4 linked regions of the Macaca mulatta genome follow. The protein of the gene in region 4 interacts with the protein of the main gene of each other region in a pairwise test. Links are inferred from orthologs where the notes say so. Each region holds a gene or a part of one and is shown on either strand. Other genes may lie near its edges.

What was found.
Region 1: the proteins of CKS1B (region 4) and MEOX1 interact in binary tests that used the Homo sapiens proteins (3 or more experiments, as listed by UniProt). The two-hybrid records come from large-scale screens. The link is inferred for Macaca mulatta from reciprocal best matches to the Homo sapiens genes CKS1B and MEOX1.
Region 2: the proteins of CKS1B (region 4) and XIAP interact in a two-hybrid assay, tested with the Homo sapiens proteins (3 studies listed by BioGRID and IntAct). The two-hybrid records come from large-scale screens. The link is inferred for Macaca mulatta from reciprocal best matches to the Homo sapiens genes CKS1B and XIAP.
Region 3: the proteins of CKS1B (region 4) and CBY2 interact in binary tests that used the Homo sapiens proteins (3 or more experiments, as listed by UniProt). The two-hybrid records come from large-scale screens. The link is inferred for Macaca mulatta from reciprocal best matches to the Homo sapiens genes CKS1B and CBY2.

What each region holds. Positions count from the first base shown.
Region 1 is NC_133421.1:68,004,689-68,009,473, reverse strand, and holds the start of MEOX1 (homeobox protein MOX-1), read left to right. Parts: upstream 1-1,601; 5' UTR 1,602-1,745; coding exon 1,746-2,214; intron 2,215-2,610; exon of another isoform or gene 2,611-4,781; intron 4,782-4,785. UniProt on the Homo sapiens protein: Mesodermal transcription factor that plays a key role in somitogenesis and is specifically required for sclerotome development. Required for maintenance of the sclerotome polarity and formation of the cranio-cervical joints.
Region 2 is NC_133426.1:130,341,439-130,344,703, forward strand, and holds the end of XIAP (E3 ubiquitin-protein ligase XIAP), read left to right. Parts: intron 1-475; coding exon 476-669; 3' UTR 670-2,201; downstream 2,202-3,265.
Region 3 is NC_133422.1:24,984,142-24,988,169, forward strand, and holds the end of CBY2 (protein chibby homolog 2), read left to right. Parts: intron 1-1,543; coding exon 1,544-2,734; 3' UTR 2,735-3,215; downstream 3,216-4,028.
Region 4 is NC_133406.1:112,026,010-112,030,795, reverse strand, and holds the start of CKS1B (cyclin-dependent kinases regulatory subunit 1), read left to right. Parts: upstream 1-1,722; 5' UTR 1,723-1,797; coding exon 1,798-1,856; intron 1,857-4,786.

The sequences.
Region 1 (4,785 bases), on a different chromosome or scaffold from region 4:
CTGACTGGAGTTTCTATATTAAAGGCAAGTCGTGGCTTCATTCCACATCCCTGGGTGCCCTTCCACTCTTCCTAGGAGCATCTCCTGCACCCACCCCCCAGGGCCCCACCTCCAGGCTGCAGAGCTAAGACCCAGGGGCCCCTCCTCAGGGAACCCTGGCCGTCTTCGGAAGCAGCCAGCAGAGACGCTGCTGTTAAGGCCCATGCCTGTTTCTGCTCCAATCCTGCTGCCCTGGGTTGTGGCAATAACCAGTGGGGAAGGAGTTCTGGCCCCTGGGTGTTAGGAATGTTGTCCTCCAAGAAATTGCATTAACCCTCTGAGAGACCAGCAGGGTGCAGCCATGAGAAAGACTGATTGGGCATCGAGATGGCACTTGGGCTGGCTGCCCTGTGATGTGCACCAGCCCGGAGACCCACGTGCCTGCTTGCCAAAGAGGCTCCTCTGGGGAATGAGGAGCCCCTGATTCCTATTTCCCTGCCCCAAATTCCTCGGAAGCCTCCGCCTCTAAGGGTTGAGAAAGGGAAGCAGGTGGGTGGAGGTGAAGGGGGCAGGGAGCAGGTGGGAGGAGACCCGAAGAAACTTCAAGGACCTTATTTAAGAGCCTTGCCATTGCTGTGAAGAAAAATGACTTGAAACCTCTCTAGAGAAGACTGTGGCTAATTGGCATGTAAGTTGGAGGTTAAAGAGCGGAAGGAAGAATCTGATTGTTTTTTTAAGTTACTGAGAAAGTGAGAATGTCACTCTGGGCAGAGAGAAATTCTTTTTTTCTAGAGTGTGCCTTTCTTTATACTACAGACCATAGTGGGCCGCTGAGACTTGCAAAAAAGATTTCTTTTAATCCACCTTCCTTTTTCGCAGGCAGCAGTAGAAGGGCCTTTAAATCAAATGCAATCACCAAGCTTGTCTCTTGCTTTTATTCCTCACTTCACTCCCTGGAATTTGGCATTTGACGGATTCTGGATCTGACTTAAGGCTTTTTCTAAATCCAAGACTTGGGGAATTTTGTTAGCAGTGCAATAAAAATAACTTCATAGTGTTACAGGAGGCACATTAAAGACGGTGTGTGTGTGTGTGTGTGTGTGTATGTGTGCGCGCGCGCGCGCGCGTGAGTGCTGCTTTCTTTAAAATAAAAAAAAAATACAGACAATGTTTCTTTAAAAGTCTCCATCTGCAAATCCCATTAGATGTGCATATAAGGTTTCTGATGATTAATAGTTGCCTGCTAGGGTTTTGGTTGGAGGGGATCTTGTGTGTGCGGGTTAACCCCTCCCTCTCCTCTCTCACATTTCACTTCAGAAATTTGTCACTCTCTCCCCACCGCAGGATTTAAAGTGTGTCCCAGCAGCCCTGGTCCAGCCCTCTGCAGGCATTTGCTCTGGGCTCCAGGACGAGCTCCTCCTCAGCTGGTGCTTCTGGGTTGGGACAGTGAAAATGTTTAGTGTCACTGGCGACAAATACACGTACAGGGGACCCCAGTAGGCAGGCTGGTGCATTGGAGGGGCAGGAGCAAGCCCAATATAGGTGTGTGCACACACATAGGAGTAGCTGGCCACATGTGTGTGTACTTTAAGGAGAGACTTTAGTTTAGTTTTTTTTTTTTTTTTTTTTGGTTCCTGGGGTAAATTTTCTGTTGAATATTTTTCCCTCCTATTTAATTTTTTTTCTTTTGCATTTTTAAAAATTTGAACATAAAAAGTATAAAGAATCAAATCTTTGAAAGGACTGAGGCGTGCAGCGGACAGCAGATGGATCCCCCGGCCAGCAGCTGCATGAGGAGCCTCCAGCCCCCAGCCCCTGTCTGGGGCTGCCTTCGAAACCCCCACTCAGAAGGCAATGGGGCCTCAGGGCTACCCCACTACCCGCCCACCCCGTTCTCCTTCCACCAGAAACCAGACTTCCCGGCGACAGCGACGGCAGCGTACCCCGACTTCTCAGCCTCCTGCCTGGCGGCCACCCCACACAGCCTGCCTCAGGAGGAGCGCATCTTCACTGAGCAGCACCCTGCTTTCCCACAGTCCCCCAACTGGCACTTCCCTGTCTCAGAGGCCCGGCGCAGGCCCAACTCAGGCCTGGCAGGGGGTTCCAAGGAAATGGGGACCAGCAGCCTGGGCCTGGTGGACACCACAGGAGGCCCAGGTGAGGACTACGGGGTGTTTGGGAGCACTGCCAATGAGACAGAGAAGAAATCATCCAGGCGGAGAAAGGAGAGTTCAGGTAGGTGGCTCAGGAGCAGCTGATCATTCCTTTACTGTGTGACCTTGGGGAAGTTACTCACCCTCTCTGTGCCTAGGTGCTCTGTCCATGAATTTCTGTCTAGCCTATCCAAATGCAGGAGACTGGACCAGTTACCTTTGGGGTTTCTTCCACTGAGAGTTCTAGGATTCTCTGGTGATGGGGACCGTGTCTGTGTCCCAGCACTCCTGGGCCCCAGGAAGGGTGTCCCAGCGAGAGAATGAAACAGGATCCGCAAGGATTTGGACACGTGAAATGGATCCTCTGGGTGCAGACTGGCGAGGGCTGGTGAGAGGCTTTCCTGCATCAGGCTGCCATTGAGTCATGCTCCTCCCCACCATGCTTTGGCCAGCCCCAAGTGGTGCTAGAGCCACAGGGCTCGTTTACCAGGGAAGTCAGCTGAGATTAAGGCTCTGAGAGCTAAGACTGAAGCTGGGACCCTGGGTGGCCACCCACAGCCAAGACCCTATGTGTCCAGGAGCCTAGAGGCAGAGAAGCAGGCCTGCAGCTGGATAGGAGAGTCCAGGGGTGAGGGGGAGATGGAGGACTGAGGTTTGGGGTATCACCCTGTGGAGCTGGGCCATGTCCAGGCCAAGGGGACAACTTAGCATGCTGAGATCTGGCTGAGCCCCCGGGAAGGCAGCCCCGCAAGGAACTGTGAGGGATGGGCAGCCTCCAGGAGAGTCAGGCAGCCAAGGGAGTCCGTGCTGGAGTCCCAGAGGCTGGAGGATGAGGTTGGCCTATTTGTTAAGATTCCAGCTGAAACCCTTCTCTTCCCCAGGGTGGGGACCTGCTGTTTCCTCACCTCCCCACCAGGCCCTCCCTGGTTTCTCACACTGCCTGTTCATCTTTTGTCTGGTTCCTCGTCCCGGCCTTGTTCGGAACAGGGCAGTGCCCAAGCCTCCTGCCCGCACTGCCCTGTTTTCCTCCTGACAGCTGCCCTCAGGGGCACGCCTGTCTGTCGGAGCCTGTAGACGACCTTCCCATGGGGCTAAGAAGGACAGGCCAGAAAAGAAGGGCACCAATGAACAGGTGGGAATGCTTTGTGCTTTGCTTTATCAGCACAGCTTTCCCGAGTTTCTGCTCTTAGCCAAGCCCAGGAATGCTCTGGGTGAGTAAAGGGGTCTTACCCAGAAAAGCTCAAGCTGAGAGGAAGAAGAGGCCGGCAGAGGTGTGTCAGCAGTGGGATGTGCCCTGATGGAGAGGCTTACGGTGCCATGGGATACCGACGTCAGCTCTTTTGAGTCCCACGGGTTTGGGAGATAGGGACAGCAGGTTTTATTAGTATCTCGATTCTCTCAATCTGCAAAATGAAAGACTGAAAGTTTGTGAGAACACAGAAAGAATGGGGTCAAAATAGAGTGAGCAGCTCATCTCCATTTGCCCAGGACTTTTCCAGTTTTAGCACTGAAAATCCTGTGTCCTGGGAAACCCCATGGTCCCAGGCAAACAGGAGAATTGGTCACTCTAGAAGTGAGCTCAAACCCCAGGCTTCAGGCCCCCGATGTCACACCCTTCAGTAGATTTCCAACGCAATCCTCATTTTGAAATGATGTTTGGTTTCCCTGCTTGAAGAAGCCCCTCAGTGAGCTCACAATGAGTAATAGGAACCCTAGCAGCCCTTGCGGCTGCTAAATAGAAGGGCCCTTTAAACCTCCAGCCAGTTAGATCCCCATCCCGCAAACTAACTCATCCTACCCCAGGTAGGAAATGTGCTAAGGATGAGAAGGGACTCTCAGCGACTTGACTCTGAGCTGGGTTGAAGAGCTTTCCCCTTGGTGGCGGCACCCGGCACCGTGGCTCCTTCCTCTCTGCCACTTTCCAGGGAACTGAGAGCCAAGGGCATTGAAAAGGGATAGCAAAGCCAAGAGCCTGCTGGGCTCAGGCAGAATCTTCCAGCATTCCGAGTCTCAGCAAAACCCAAATGCACCAGCTCTCTTTTTGGCAAGTGACCGATGGCCCTGCAATGCAGAGAGAGCATTCACGCTAAGCAGCTGGCCACCCAGGAGTACAGGGACACCCTCTGCTGAACGGCCTGCACACTTCAGAGTCAGACTTTGGTGGAGGGAGGTTCCCATCCGCAGAGGCCCTGGGCTTCCCTAAGGGTCCCCTCGGGAGCACCAGTAGCAGGTGAGGCAGGGCCCAGAAAGCTGACTCTCACTCATCCCTCTGTGATTCCAGACAAACTCGCTGTTCAGCATGGAAATCTTTATTGCTCAGATGCTTGAGACCTCCTTTGGAATTTAACTCAAGGGGAGGAAGGAGGCAAGAAATATCAGCTTCATAAGAGCCCAAAGAAGGGGGAAAGCGACCCAAGGCTCACAACCTACTCCAGGAATTTGGAATTTAGCTCAGAAAAGGCAAACCCACAGAGAGCTCCCCACCCAACCCTACCAATCCTGAGTCTGTAATCGGATCCTATCTCTAAAATTGTGATATTTTGTTCATTATCAATTTTTGGCATTAATTTTGATTTTTACAAATATTGCCTTAAAATACATTTTGTTGTTGTTGTTGAGATGGAGTCTCCATCTAACTCCCAGGCTGGAGTGT
Region 2 (3,265 bases), on a different chromosome or scaffold from region 4:
TCAGAGGTGTCCCTCAAATCCATCCCTCTATTTCTGGAATTAGTTGTGACCTTTCCATATGCTGCTCCTTTTACCTAACCCTTGTTTTTCTGCCTGGCAAATTACTGCCCATGCTTAAATGTCACTCCTCCGCTTCCCTCCTCCCCCGATCCAGCCACTGCCAACCTGTGGAGCCTTCTCCAACTAGCCTGAGCAGAAGAACTTGTTTTCTCATCTTGTTCCAGAGCACTTTGTACATAACTTTATTACAGCACTTATCACTTTGTACTTTGTGCTTAACCTCCATAGCCTCATCTTACATCCTCTCCCACTAGCCTGTGAGCTATTTAAGAGCAGATGCCATGTGTGAGTCATCCTCATATCTCCTGGCACTTGTTGGGTGCCTGGCACGTAGTAGGGGTTCAATAAATATTTTCAATGAATGTAAACAACTAAGAAAGTCTAAAACTAGCATAATTCTTTTCTCTTTTTGCAGAGATTAGTACTGAAGAGCAGCTAAGGCGCCTGCAAGAGGAGAAGCTTTGCAAAATCTGTATGGATAGAAATATTGCTATCGTTTTTGTTCCTTGTGGACATCTAGTCACTTGTAAACAATGTGCTGAAGCAGTTGACAAGTGTCCCATGTGCTACACAGTCATTACTTTCAAGCAAAAAATTTTTATGTCTTAATCTAACTCTGTAGTAGGGATGTTATGTTCTTCTTATTACCCTGATTGAATGTGTGATGTGAACTGACTTTTAAGTAATCAGGATTGAATTCCATTAGCATTTGCTACCAAGTAGAAAAAAAATGTACATGGCAGTGTTTTAGTTGGCAATATAATCTTTGAATTTCTGGATTTTTCAGGCTATTAGCTGTATTATTTATCCAACTTTTTTTACTGTTATCTAATTGAAACCCTAGACTAAGAAGCATCATATTATAACTGAACACAATGTGTATTCATCATATACTGACTTAATTTCTAAGTGTAAGTGAATTAATCATCTGGATTTTTTATTCTTTTCAGATAGGCTTAACAAATGGAGCTTTCTGTATATAAATGTGGAGATTAATCTCCCCAATCACATAATTTGTTTTGTGTGAAAAAGGAATAATTGTTCCATGCTGGTGGAAAGATAGAGATTATTTTTAGAGGTTGGTTGTTGTGTGTTAGGATTCTGTCCATTTTCTTTTAAAATTATAAACACGTACTTGTGCGAATAATTTTTTAAAAGTGATTTGCCATTTTTGAAAGGGTATTTAATGATAGAATACTATCAAGCCAAGATGTACTGACATGGAAAGATGTGAAAGATATATTAAGTGTAAAATGCAAGTGGCAAAACACTATGTATAGTCTGAGGCAATCAAAGTATGTATGTTTCTTATATGTATAGAACAAAAGATTTGGAAAGATAGACACCAAACTGTTAAATGTGGTTTCTCTTTGGGGGGGTTGGGGAAGGGGCCTCAGAGGGGTTTTATAGGGGCCTTTCACTTTCTATTTTTTTCATTTTGTTCTGTTTGAATTTTTTATAAGTATGTATTACTTTTGTAATCAGAATTTTTAGAAAGTATTTTACTGATTTAAAGGCTTAGGCATGTTCAAACGCCTGCAAAAGTACTTATCACTCAGCTTTAGTTTTTCTAATCCAAGAAGGCAGGGCAGTTAACCTTTTTGGTGCCAATGTGAAATGTAAATGGTTTTATGTTTTTCCTGCTTTGTGGATGAAAAATATTTCTGAGTGGTAGGTTTTTGACAGGTAGACCATGTCTTCTTATCTTGTTTCAAAATAAGTATTTCTGATTTTGTAAAATGAAATATAAAATATGTCTCAGATCTTCCAATTAATTAGTAAGGATTCATCCTTAATCCTTGCTAGTTTAAGCCTGCCTAAGTCACTTTACTAAAAGATCTTTGTTAACTCAGTATTTTAAACATCTGTCAGCTTATGTAGGTAAAAGTAGAAGTATGTTTGTACACTGCTTGTAGTTATAGTGACAGCTTTCCATGTTGAGATTCTCATATCATCTTGTATCTTAAAGTTTCATGTGAGTTTTTACCGTTAGGATGATTAAGATGTATATAGGATGAAATGTTAAATCCTCTGCCTACATTTGTGTTCTTGACTAGTAATAGTAGTAGATACTTCTGAAATCAATGTTCTCTCAACATCCTTAAAACCTCTTGGAAATTATAAAAATATTGGCAAGAAAAGAATAGTTGTTTAAATATTTTTTGAAAAACACTTGAATAAGAATCAATAGGACATAAACTAGAAGTTTAAAAATGCTTCATAGGACGTCCAGGGTTTACATTATAAGATTCTCACAACAAACCTATTGTAGAGGTGAGTAAGGCATGTTACTACATAGAGAAAAGTTTGAGAGTAAAACTGTAAAAAATTATATTTTTGTTGTACTTTCTAAGAGAAAGAGTACTGTTATGTTCTCCTAACTTCTGTTGATTACTACTTTAAGTGATATTCATTTAAAACATTGCAAATTTATTTTATTTATTTAATTTTCTTTTTGAGATGGAGTCTTGCTTGTCACCCAGGCTGGAGTGCAGTGGCATGATCTCTGCTCACTGCAACCTCCCCCTCCTGGGTTCAAGCGATTCTCCTGCCTCAGCTTCCTGAGTAGCTGGGATTACAGGCGAGTGCCACCATACCCGACTAATTTTTGTATTTTTAGTAGAGACAGGGTTTCACCATGTTGGCCAGGCTGGTCTCAAACTCCTGACCTCAAGAGATCCGCCCACCTTGCCCTCCCAAAGTGCTGGGATTACAGGCTTGAGCCACCACACCCAGCCAAAGCATTGCAAATTTAAATGAGAGTTTTAAAAATTAAATAATGACTGCCCTGTTCCTGTTTTAGTATGTAAATCCTCAGTTCTTCACCTTTGCACTGTCTGCCACTTAGTCTGGTTATATAGTCATTAACATGAATTTGATCTGTATAGTCTAGACTATAAGTTTAAATTTAAAGTGTTCTACAAGGGGAGAAAAGTGTTAACATTTTTAAAATATGTTTTCCGGGACACTTTAGCTCCAAGTCAGGTAGGTAGTTCAGTCTAGTTGTTAGCCAAGGACTCAAGGACTGAATTGTTTTAACATAAGGCCTTTCCTGTTCTGGGAGCCACACTTCATTAAAATTCTTCTTCTAAAGCTTGTATGTTTAGAGTTAAGCAAGACTTTTTTTTCTTCCTCTCCATGAGTTGTGAAATTTAATGCACAACGCTGATGTGGCTAACAAGTTTATTTTAAGAATTGTTTAGAA
Region 3 (4,028 bases), on a different chromosome or scaffold from region 4:
CCAGTCTGAGTGAATCAGACTCACAATGGGAGGCTCAGAAATCTGCATTTAAAACTCACTGGGGTTATTCTTCTGTACTGGGACGTGTGAAAGCTACCAACTCAATGGAGTTAAGTTCTGTGGATCTGAACCCCGTTTTATGCTGTGGTCTTGAGGTCTGTGGCCACCATCATGAATTCTTCAGGGTCTTTGGCTGGCTGTATCACCACATGTTGAATGCTCATTGCTCAGTGATATGTCTGGGATGGTTTTTCTTTCCTTCCAAAATTATTAGTTAGACTCTGCTTTGAGTCTAGCATTGCATTGGAAGCTGGAGTGGATGTTTAAGGGGCTGCTAGCAGAAAAGACGCAAGGGTGGCTAAGAGTGAAGGATATGCCCAGATGGGCAAGAGAGAAGGCTGGGCTGATCAATGGCACCACCATTTCGGACACAGCAATTTGGGTGGCTGTTTGGATGATTCATGCTGCTTCTCTGCTCATGCTAAGTGAGAGTACACACCTGTGGGCAGTGGCCCTTGAGAACAGTGTTTGTTCCTCCTTTAGGGTGACAGAATGTGCTAGAGCCCATGCTTAGTGCTTTTGTACATTACCTTTTTTAATCCTAAAAATGTCTCTAGGAGTCAAGGAGTAAATACAATTATCCCAATTTGAAATTGTGGAAATTAAAGCTCAGATAACTTGTCCAAATTCTTGTTAACTGGTAAGTAGTGAGGCAGAGACTCAAAATATTTGGTTGACTCTAAAATTAATGCTTTTGACCTCCATAATATATAACTGTTTCTCATTATTCATGGATTCCATATTTGTGAATTTGCCTACTTGCTAAAATGTGTATCCACCAAATCAATACTTAAAGCACTTTTATGGCAATTCTCAGACATGCACAGAGAGGTGAAAATTTGAGTTGTGTAAGGCTGAGTCCCCAGCCAAGGAGCCTTCTTGTTTCAGCTCTCAGGCTAGAAAATAGGGTCCATTGCGCAGTCGATCTAGTGCTACTTTTTTTTTTTTTTTTTTTTTTGCCTTCTTGTGCATTTTGTTGGTGATTTTGCTGTTAAAAATGGCTTCCGCGCCATTCCAAGTCAAGTGCTGTCTAGTACTCCCAATCACAAGAAGGCTATGCTGTGCCACATGGAGAAAACATAGGTGTTAGAGAAGTTTTGTTTGGGCATGCGTAACAGTGTTGCTGACGTGAGTTCGATGTTAATGAATCAATAAACAATAAGCACTAAATTAGGTTATATATTGTTTGGTTGACAAAATTGTGACCACAGGCTCCCAGGAATGTAGCCCTCTATTTCCCATAGGAGCAATGGTTCTATATTTGGTAATTCAGCGTTGGAGATGACTTAATAGAACAGAACTCACTGGAATGACAAGGATCCGCCACATTTCCTTGTGAGGACCCCAAGAGGCAAAAACGCCCACTGTGGCCAGGCCAGACAATCAGACGGGGCTTATCCGGGGATGTCCTCGCCCCTTACTTTGTCAGCCAGCCCCGAGTGTGTCTGTCCCATCGTTAACGCTTTCCCATTCTCTCCCGCAGAGGGGCACAGCCGAGCCCTTCCCGAGGCTCCACAACTTGCACAGCATCCCTCGCTGCGCGCAGCAGGCCGCCCTGCCCCGGCTGAGCCGCAGGATGGCGAGCCAGCACTCCTACCCGCTGAACCGCTTCTCCTCCGTGCCCTTAGACCCCATGGAGCGCCCCATGTCTCAGGCCGACCTGGAGCTGGACTACAACCCGCCGCGGGTGCAGCTCAGCGACGAGATGTTCGTGTTCCAGGACGGGCGCTGGGTGAATGAGAACTGCCGCCTGCAGTCTCCCTACTTCTCCCCATCCGCCTCCTTCCACCACAAGCTGCACCACAAGAGGCTGGCCAAGGAGTTCGTGCTGCAGGAGGAGAACAAGTCTCTGCGGGAGGAGAACAAGGCCCTGCGCGAGGAGAACAGAATGCTCCGCAAGGAGAACAAAATCCTGCAGGTCTTCTGGGAGGAGCACAAGGCCTCGCTGGGCCGGGAGGAGAGCCGGCCCCCCTCACCGCTGCCGCAAAAGGACAGCGCGTCCCTGGAGGTGGTGAAGAAGGACCACGTCGCCCTGCAGGTGCCCCGCGGCAAGGAGGACAGCACCCTGCAGCTACTACGGGAGGAGAACCGCGCGCTGCAGCAGCTGCTGGAGCAGAAACAGGCCTACTGGACCCAGACAGAGGACGCAGCCGCCCCCGCCGAGGAAAGCAAGCCCGCCCCCTCGCCCCACGAGGAGCCCTGCAGCCCCGGGCTGCTGCAGGACCAGGGCTCCGGCCTCTCCTCCCACTTCGAGGAGCCCAGAGGGCCCCCCGCCCCGCAGGAGGACTCCAAGACCCTGCGCGCCCTGCGGGAGATGGTCAGCAACATGTCCGGGCCCTCCGGGGAGGAGGAGGCCAAGGCGGGCCCGGGCCTGCCCGACGGCTGCCAGCCCCTGCAGCTGCTGAGAGAGATGAGGCAGGCGCTGCAGGCCCTGCTCAAGGAGAACCGGCTCCTGCAGGAGGAGAACAGGACCCTGCAGGTGCTACGGGCGGAGCACAGGGGCTTCCAGGAGGAAAACAAGGCCCTGTGGGAGAACAACAAGCTGAAGCTGCAGCAGAAGCTGGTCATCGACACCGTGACCGAGGTCACCGCGCGCATGGAGATGCTCATTGAGGAGCTCTACGCCTTCATGCCGGGCAGGAGCCAGGACCCCAAGAAGCCCAGCAGGGTCTGAGGCCTCCGCCGTGCACCGGGACGCCGAGTTTGGGACACCGAACACTGGGCAAAAGAGAATCCCCTGCCTGCCTTTGTCGTCCTCGCCTTTCCCAACCAGTTCGTACCTATTGAAAAGCAGCGTTAGTGGCCTTCCTAAACTCAGAGTATTAATAAAGGTGTGAGGAGGCTGGGGCCAGTTGACACCAGCATGCGGCCTTTTTCTTTGGGTTTCTTTGTTTCATAAAAGATAGACAATATTTTAGAGCAGTTTTGGGTTCACAGCTAAATTGAGCAGAAAGGACAGGGAGTTCCCATAGACTCCCACTCCACAAATGCATAATCTCCCGCATTATCACCATCCCTCCAGAGTGGTACACTAGTGACAGTCTTTGAACCTACCTGGACACATCATAATCATTCCAAAGTCTGTAAGTTTGCATTAAGGTTTGCTTCTGGTGCTGTACATTCTGTGGGTTTGATTAAATGTATAGTGACATGTAGCCACCATTGTAGTACCATATAGAGTATTATAGAGTATATGTAGTACCATATAGAGTATTTTTATCGCTAAAAATCCTCTATGCTCTGCCTATTCATCCCTCCCTCCCCCTCCAACCTCTGGCCACCATTGATCTTTTTTACAGTCTTCATAGTTTTGCTTTTTCCAGAATATCATATAGTTGGAATCGCCAAGTGTGGAGCGTTTTCAGGTTGGCTTCTTTCTCTTGGATATGCATTTAAGTTTCCTCCGTGTCTTTTCATAGATTCATAGACAGCTCATTTCTTTTTAGCACTGAATAAAATTCCATTGTCTGGATAGATCACAGTTTATCCTTTCATCTACTGAAGAAAATCTTGGTTGCTCTCAAGACAGTTATGAATCTGACTTCTTCTCTCCTTTTTTCCCCTGGTCTCTTCTTTACCTCTGCCTTTATTATTGTCTCTGTTTTTCTCTTTCAGTTCTTCCTTTTTTTCCTTAATTTTTTCTTCCTCCTCTTCTCTTTCTCCTATCCTCCTTGCTCCCTCATCATCTCCAATTTCTGAGGCTATAGGAGTGGGGATAGGTCTATGGGGGAAGAAATTACCCTAAGCCAGGGCTTTTCAATTGTGCCATTATTATTTGGGGCTGGACAAGTCTGTGATGGGGGCTGTCCTGTGCATTGCACAATGTTTACCAGCATCCCTGGCCTCTACCCACTGGATGCCAGTAATAGCCACCTGGCTCCCAGCTGTGACAACCAAGTATGTCTCCAGACATTGCTGAATGTCCCCTGGGGGACAAATTTCAACACTGCTATATGTTTCTCCAAGTA
Region 4 (4,786 bases):
TATTATCTACCCCCACTCCAAACCACCGTTTTTCTGGTAGAAAACTTGCTCCTGTCACACCCACATGCCACACACCAACAAATCCATGGTCCTATCCACTTATGGATAGGCAGGCCTAGAGCTACTTCTGGGATGGAGTTGGTCCTGGGAAGGGAAGGCCAGGAGATGAGGCTGGGAGTCTGACAGCAAGTCTCTCTCCCTCTGGTGCCAAACCCTAAGTTCAGCCCCTTCAAATAGTTCTACCCTTGAAGGAGGTTAAGAAAGAGGAAAATGGGGCCGGGCGCGGTGGCTCACGCCTGTAATCCCAGCACTTAAGGAGGCTGAGACGGGTGGATCATCTGAGGTCAGGAGTTCGAGGCTAGCCTAGTCAACATGGTGAAACCCCCCTCTCTACTAAAAATACAAAAATTAGCCGGGCGTGGTGGCGGGCGCCTATAATCCCAGCTACTCGGGAGGCTGAGGCAGGAGAATCACTTGAACCCAGGAGGCGGAGGTTGCGGTGAGTCGAGATCGCACCATTGCACTCTAGCCTGGGCAACAAGAGCGAAACTCTGTCTCAAAAAAAACAAAAAGAAAGAAAGAAAAGAAAGAAAGGAAAACGGCTGCCTTTAATCTCACTCTTCACAGTCAGAGATAGGAACTTTGACTTCCCACCTGGGGGAGCACGAGAGTGCTCGGAAAACTGATCCCAAAGCCCAAAAAAAGACAAAGGACAGGAAAATATAAGCAGGTGGAGTTTCAGGGATTGACGACAAGGCTTTACAGCTGATGACCCAGGTCCCACAAAGCTCGTAAGGGGGCGTGGTCCGCCAGGACGCGAACTTCAGACTTCTATGCGGGGAGGCTTTCTGGACAGTCAGACACGGATTACGAACAGGGCGTGGCTTCGGAGGGGCGGAGCCCCGAAGAGGCGTGGCTCCAACAAATTCGAATCGTTCTTTGAGGAGCAGGGTTTTGCCCTTTTGGGAGATAGGCTTTTTGACAGGAGTTAGCAGAGGATCGTTGCTAGGAGGCGGAGTTTCGGAGAATGGAAGGAGTAACCAAGGGTTTCACGTAGTAGGGCTTGGAACGTGTCTGGGGGTGGGACTTCCAGGAAAACTGGGCGACAGGGTGGGGTCGGAGACAAAAAATAAAAATCAAGTCGGGGTTCGGGGGAGCCCCCAGAGGTTGGGAGGTGGGACTTCCGGGGAGAGGGGTCTCAGGGGCGGGACTTATAAATGAAGACCGGAAGTGGGGTCCCGGGAGAGGGGTTCCGGAGTGGAAGAGTGAGTCACCTAAGGAGAAAAAAGTCAAGACTCACCAGGGCCTCATGGAGTCTCCGCACCGCACCGCGGGCCGATTTGGTTCCGGATCACGCCACTGCCAGCTTAGGTTACCGCTCCAACTTTCTCCCCGGGCCCTGCCTCCCTGGAGAAACTTTATTACACTCACTTCCGGCCTCACTAACCCCTGACCCTCTACCTCAGGGTCCCTCCTTCACGCTTCCCACTTTCCCGAGTTAGCCAATGGCAGCGCGAAATCGTGCACAGAGGCAGTGGTGGCCAATAAGACGCCTACTTTCGACCCACGCTCGTTCTTGAGAAACGTAAGAACTGCCCTCCAATAAGGACCCAAGAGAAGTAAATCTAAGCCAATCGGAGGCTTGGAAGTACAGCTGTCCCGCCTTGAGCCAAACGGACCAATAGGAAGTGCGGGCGGCGTGTTTGAAAGCGAGGCCAAAGTGGGTGGGAGCGCGTGCTGCTGGGAGTTGCTTGGAGGTTGGCGGCGCGGGGCTGAAGGCTAGCAAACCGAGCGATCATGTCGCACAAACAGATTTACTATTCGGACAAATACGACGACGAGGAGTTTGAGTATCGGTTAGTGCTGGCGCGGGGGCAACAGCGAGGTCGTGAGCTTTGACCGCTGAGGAAACAAGCAATTAGTAACAGGAACTGAGGCGATAGAATTGGCGCATGCGTACGAGATGTGAACGGGCAAGGGTGTGATATTGGTGGAAGGCGTAAGGCGCATGCGCGGAGGTGGGAGCCTCTCATAAAACAATAAAGTGGTTGCGAATTTGGAGTCTGCCCTCAGTTGAGAGGAGGGAGTGGTAGGCGTGGTTAGAGTACTGACCACCCACACCCATGAGGGTTTCTGGATCATTCTCTGAACTTTATTGGGCAAACTTAACTTGCCTTGTAGAAACTGTTAGTTTTACAGTAATCCTGTGGAATCCAGTGGGAGAACGTAGCAAAAGCGGAGCTTGGAGTTTCCTCGCGTCCCTAATGCGAGAGTAGCGCTGAGAGAGTTGAATATTGCTTATTAACTCGTGAAAAAGACAAGGGGCATGGTTGTCTGGCTTGTGTTAGGAAAGGGACCGCTTGGGACTGAAATGGAATAAAACTGGCTAGGAGCATTGAGAAAATACTTAATATGGGTCTAATAGATGCCCTTTATCAAAGGAAACGGTTACGGAATACTTAACAGGTTTCAGGTGTTCTGCAAGGATAACACATGGTCTCTGCTGTTCACAAACTTAAAACTGTGAGTGATACCGACGGACACCAGAAAGGTGATAACACCCTTTGCTAGGAGCCATTACAGGGTGTGATGGGAGCACACGAGACTTGATAAGGAGAGGGAACTGGCGACCCGAAGGCTGCGGCTTCCTAGCTGTGCGCGGGTGTTGGGGTGGGGCTAGAAAGTCAGTCCCCTACTTTTGCTAACTCCAGGACCCCCCCCCACCCCACCCTTCGAGAACCCCCGCCGCCACCGCCTTAGAGGCTGACTTCTTACTTTCGGTCGGTCTTCTTCCCTGGGCTTGGTGTGGGGGCGGGGGAGTGTCCTAAAGGCCAATTCAGTGTGATGACTCTTTCACCACCATTGAAAACGAAACCAGTAGTAAACTAAATACGCGTGTTTTCATTTATATGTCGGAGATGAGAACACTGGGACAGAAAGAGGGGAACAATAGACGTTGGGGCCTACTTGAGGGAGAAGGGTGGGAGGAGGGAGAGGTTCAGGAAAAAAAAAACTGTCGGGTACTATGGTTAGTACCTGGGTCATAAAAGAATCTGTACACCAAACCCCCGAGTCAGGAGTTTACCTATATAACAAACCTGCACACGTACCCTTGAACATGAAACTTAAAATACTGAGAGGAAAAAAAAAGGAAGAGGGAAAGTTGGGGAAAGCTTGCTAGAGGACAGAGCCTGAGATGAGACTCTAAGAAAAAGGTATGTGGGAGAAAGCACCTCTTGACTGAAATTGTTTAGAAGACACTGGATAGCCATCTGCCAAGGGTGGGGATGATGGAATCCTGGCACTGGATACAGCATTCGGGTTTGATAAATTTCAAGTGCATAATCTAGATTGGGAATAAGGGAAGACACAGGACTCCAAAATGTTGGCATTATGCTAATCTACATTGTGATAATTAAGACCACTTCCTGGTTTGTTATCTTGTCTCCTCAGATGGAGAACATAAAATGAAAACTTGCTTTTCTTGTCTCTTCACCCAGCCTAGTTCAGGGCTTTAGGTCTTCAGAGAACTCGATGTGCATTGACACATATATAATCATCTTTATACCAAGACGACTCCAGATCCTCTTTGATATAATTAACTGTCTTTTCCTCAGCTGTTTTCCTCTACATCTGAACTAAACTAACTTAAAACTGTATGTGCTTATAAGAGATTTGCAGAGCTGGGAAGGAATCACCATTTCATCCCCTAGAAGATGAAACTTTTAACTTGGCAATGGCATTTTGGTTTAAGAGGGGTTTTTTGGTCTATGTATTGAAGCCAAATTTTGTGCCAGGGTGGTGGTAGGATGTGAGCTGTTTTCATATATTTGGACTAGAATTTTTTCTTTTAGGAGAATGGGGGGGAAACCACTGTTACTAGCACAGAGAGAGAACTTAGTACATTTTCACTGAGCATGATGAAGACTATCTGGATTAGTTTGAGTCACATCAGGGTAATAATTTCTTTGCCATGAAGGGAGACTTATCCTTGGTTAGAAAAGCACGGAATTTCCCAAAAAAAGTCTCAAGGTACATCCCTCCAGAATTAGGAAGATAAGATTCAGGATAGATTTTTTTTTTTTTTTTTTTGGAAGAGACAAGGTCTTGCTTTATTGCCCAGACTGGAGTACAGTGGCTATTCACAGGCACAACCATTGTGCACTGCAGCCCTTTTTTTTTTTTTTTTTCTCTTTTTTTTGAGACGGAATCTCACTCTATTGCCCAGATCTCAGCTCACTACAACCTCCGCCTCCTGGACTCAAGGGATTCTCTCCTGCCTCAGCCTCCCAAATAGCTGGGATTACAGGTGCATGCCACCACACCCGGCTCTTTTTTTGTATTTTTAGTAGAGATGGGGTTTCACGTTGTTGGTCAGGCTGGTCTCAAACTCCTGACCTCAAGTGATCCACCCACCTCAGCCTCCCAAAATGCTGGGATTACAGGCATGAGCCACTGTCCCTGGCCTATTCTGTATTTTAATCAAAGATTTCAAACTTCATACTGTATCTTTGTCAAACTCCTGAGTTCAAATTACTCTCCTGCCTCAGCCTCCCGAGTAGCTGGGACTATAGGTATGTGCCACCATGCCTGGCTTAGATTTTAAAGGATATTTCATTTCATCCTTTGTGATGACTTGTCCACACAGTACTCCATAAAAGGCGTTTCCTCTCCACAGAATAACTTCTCTTCCTTCCTTCTAATTATTAACACTGTGTGCTCCGTGGGGCTCCCATTATATTGTAGGCAATCAACTAGAAGACTATAAGGTCCATGAAGGCAGAGA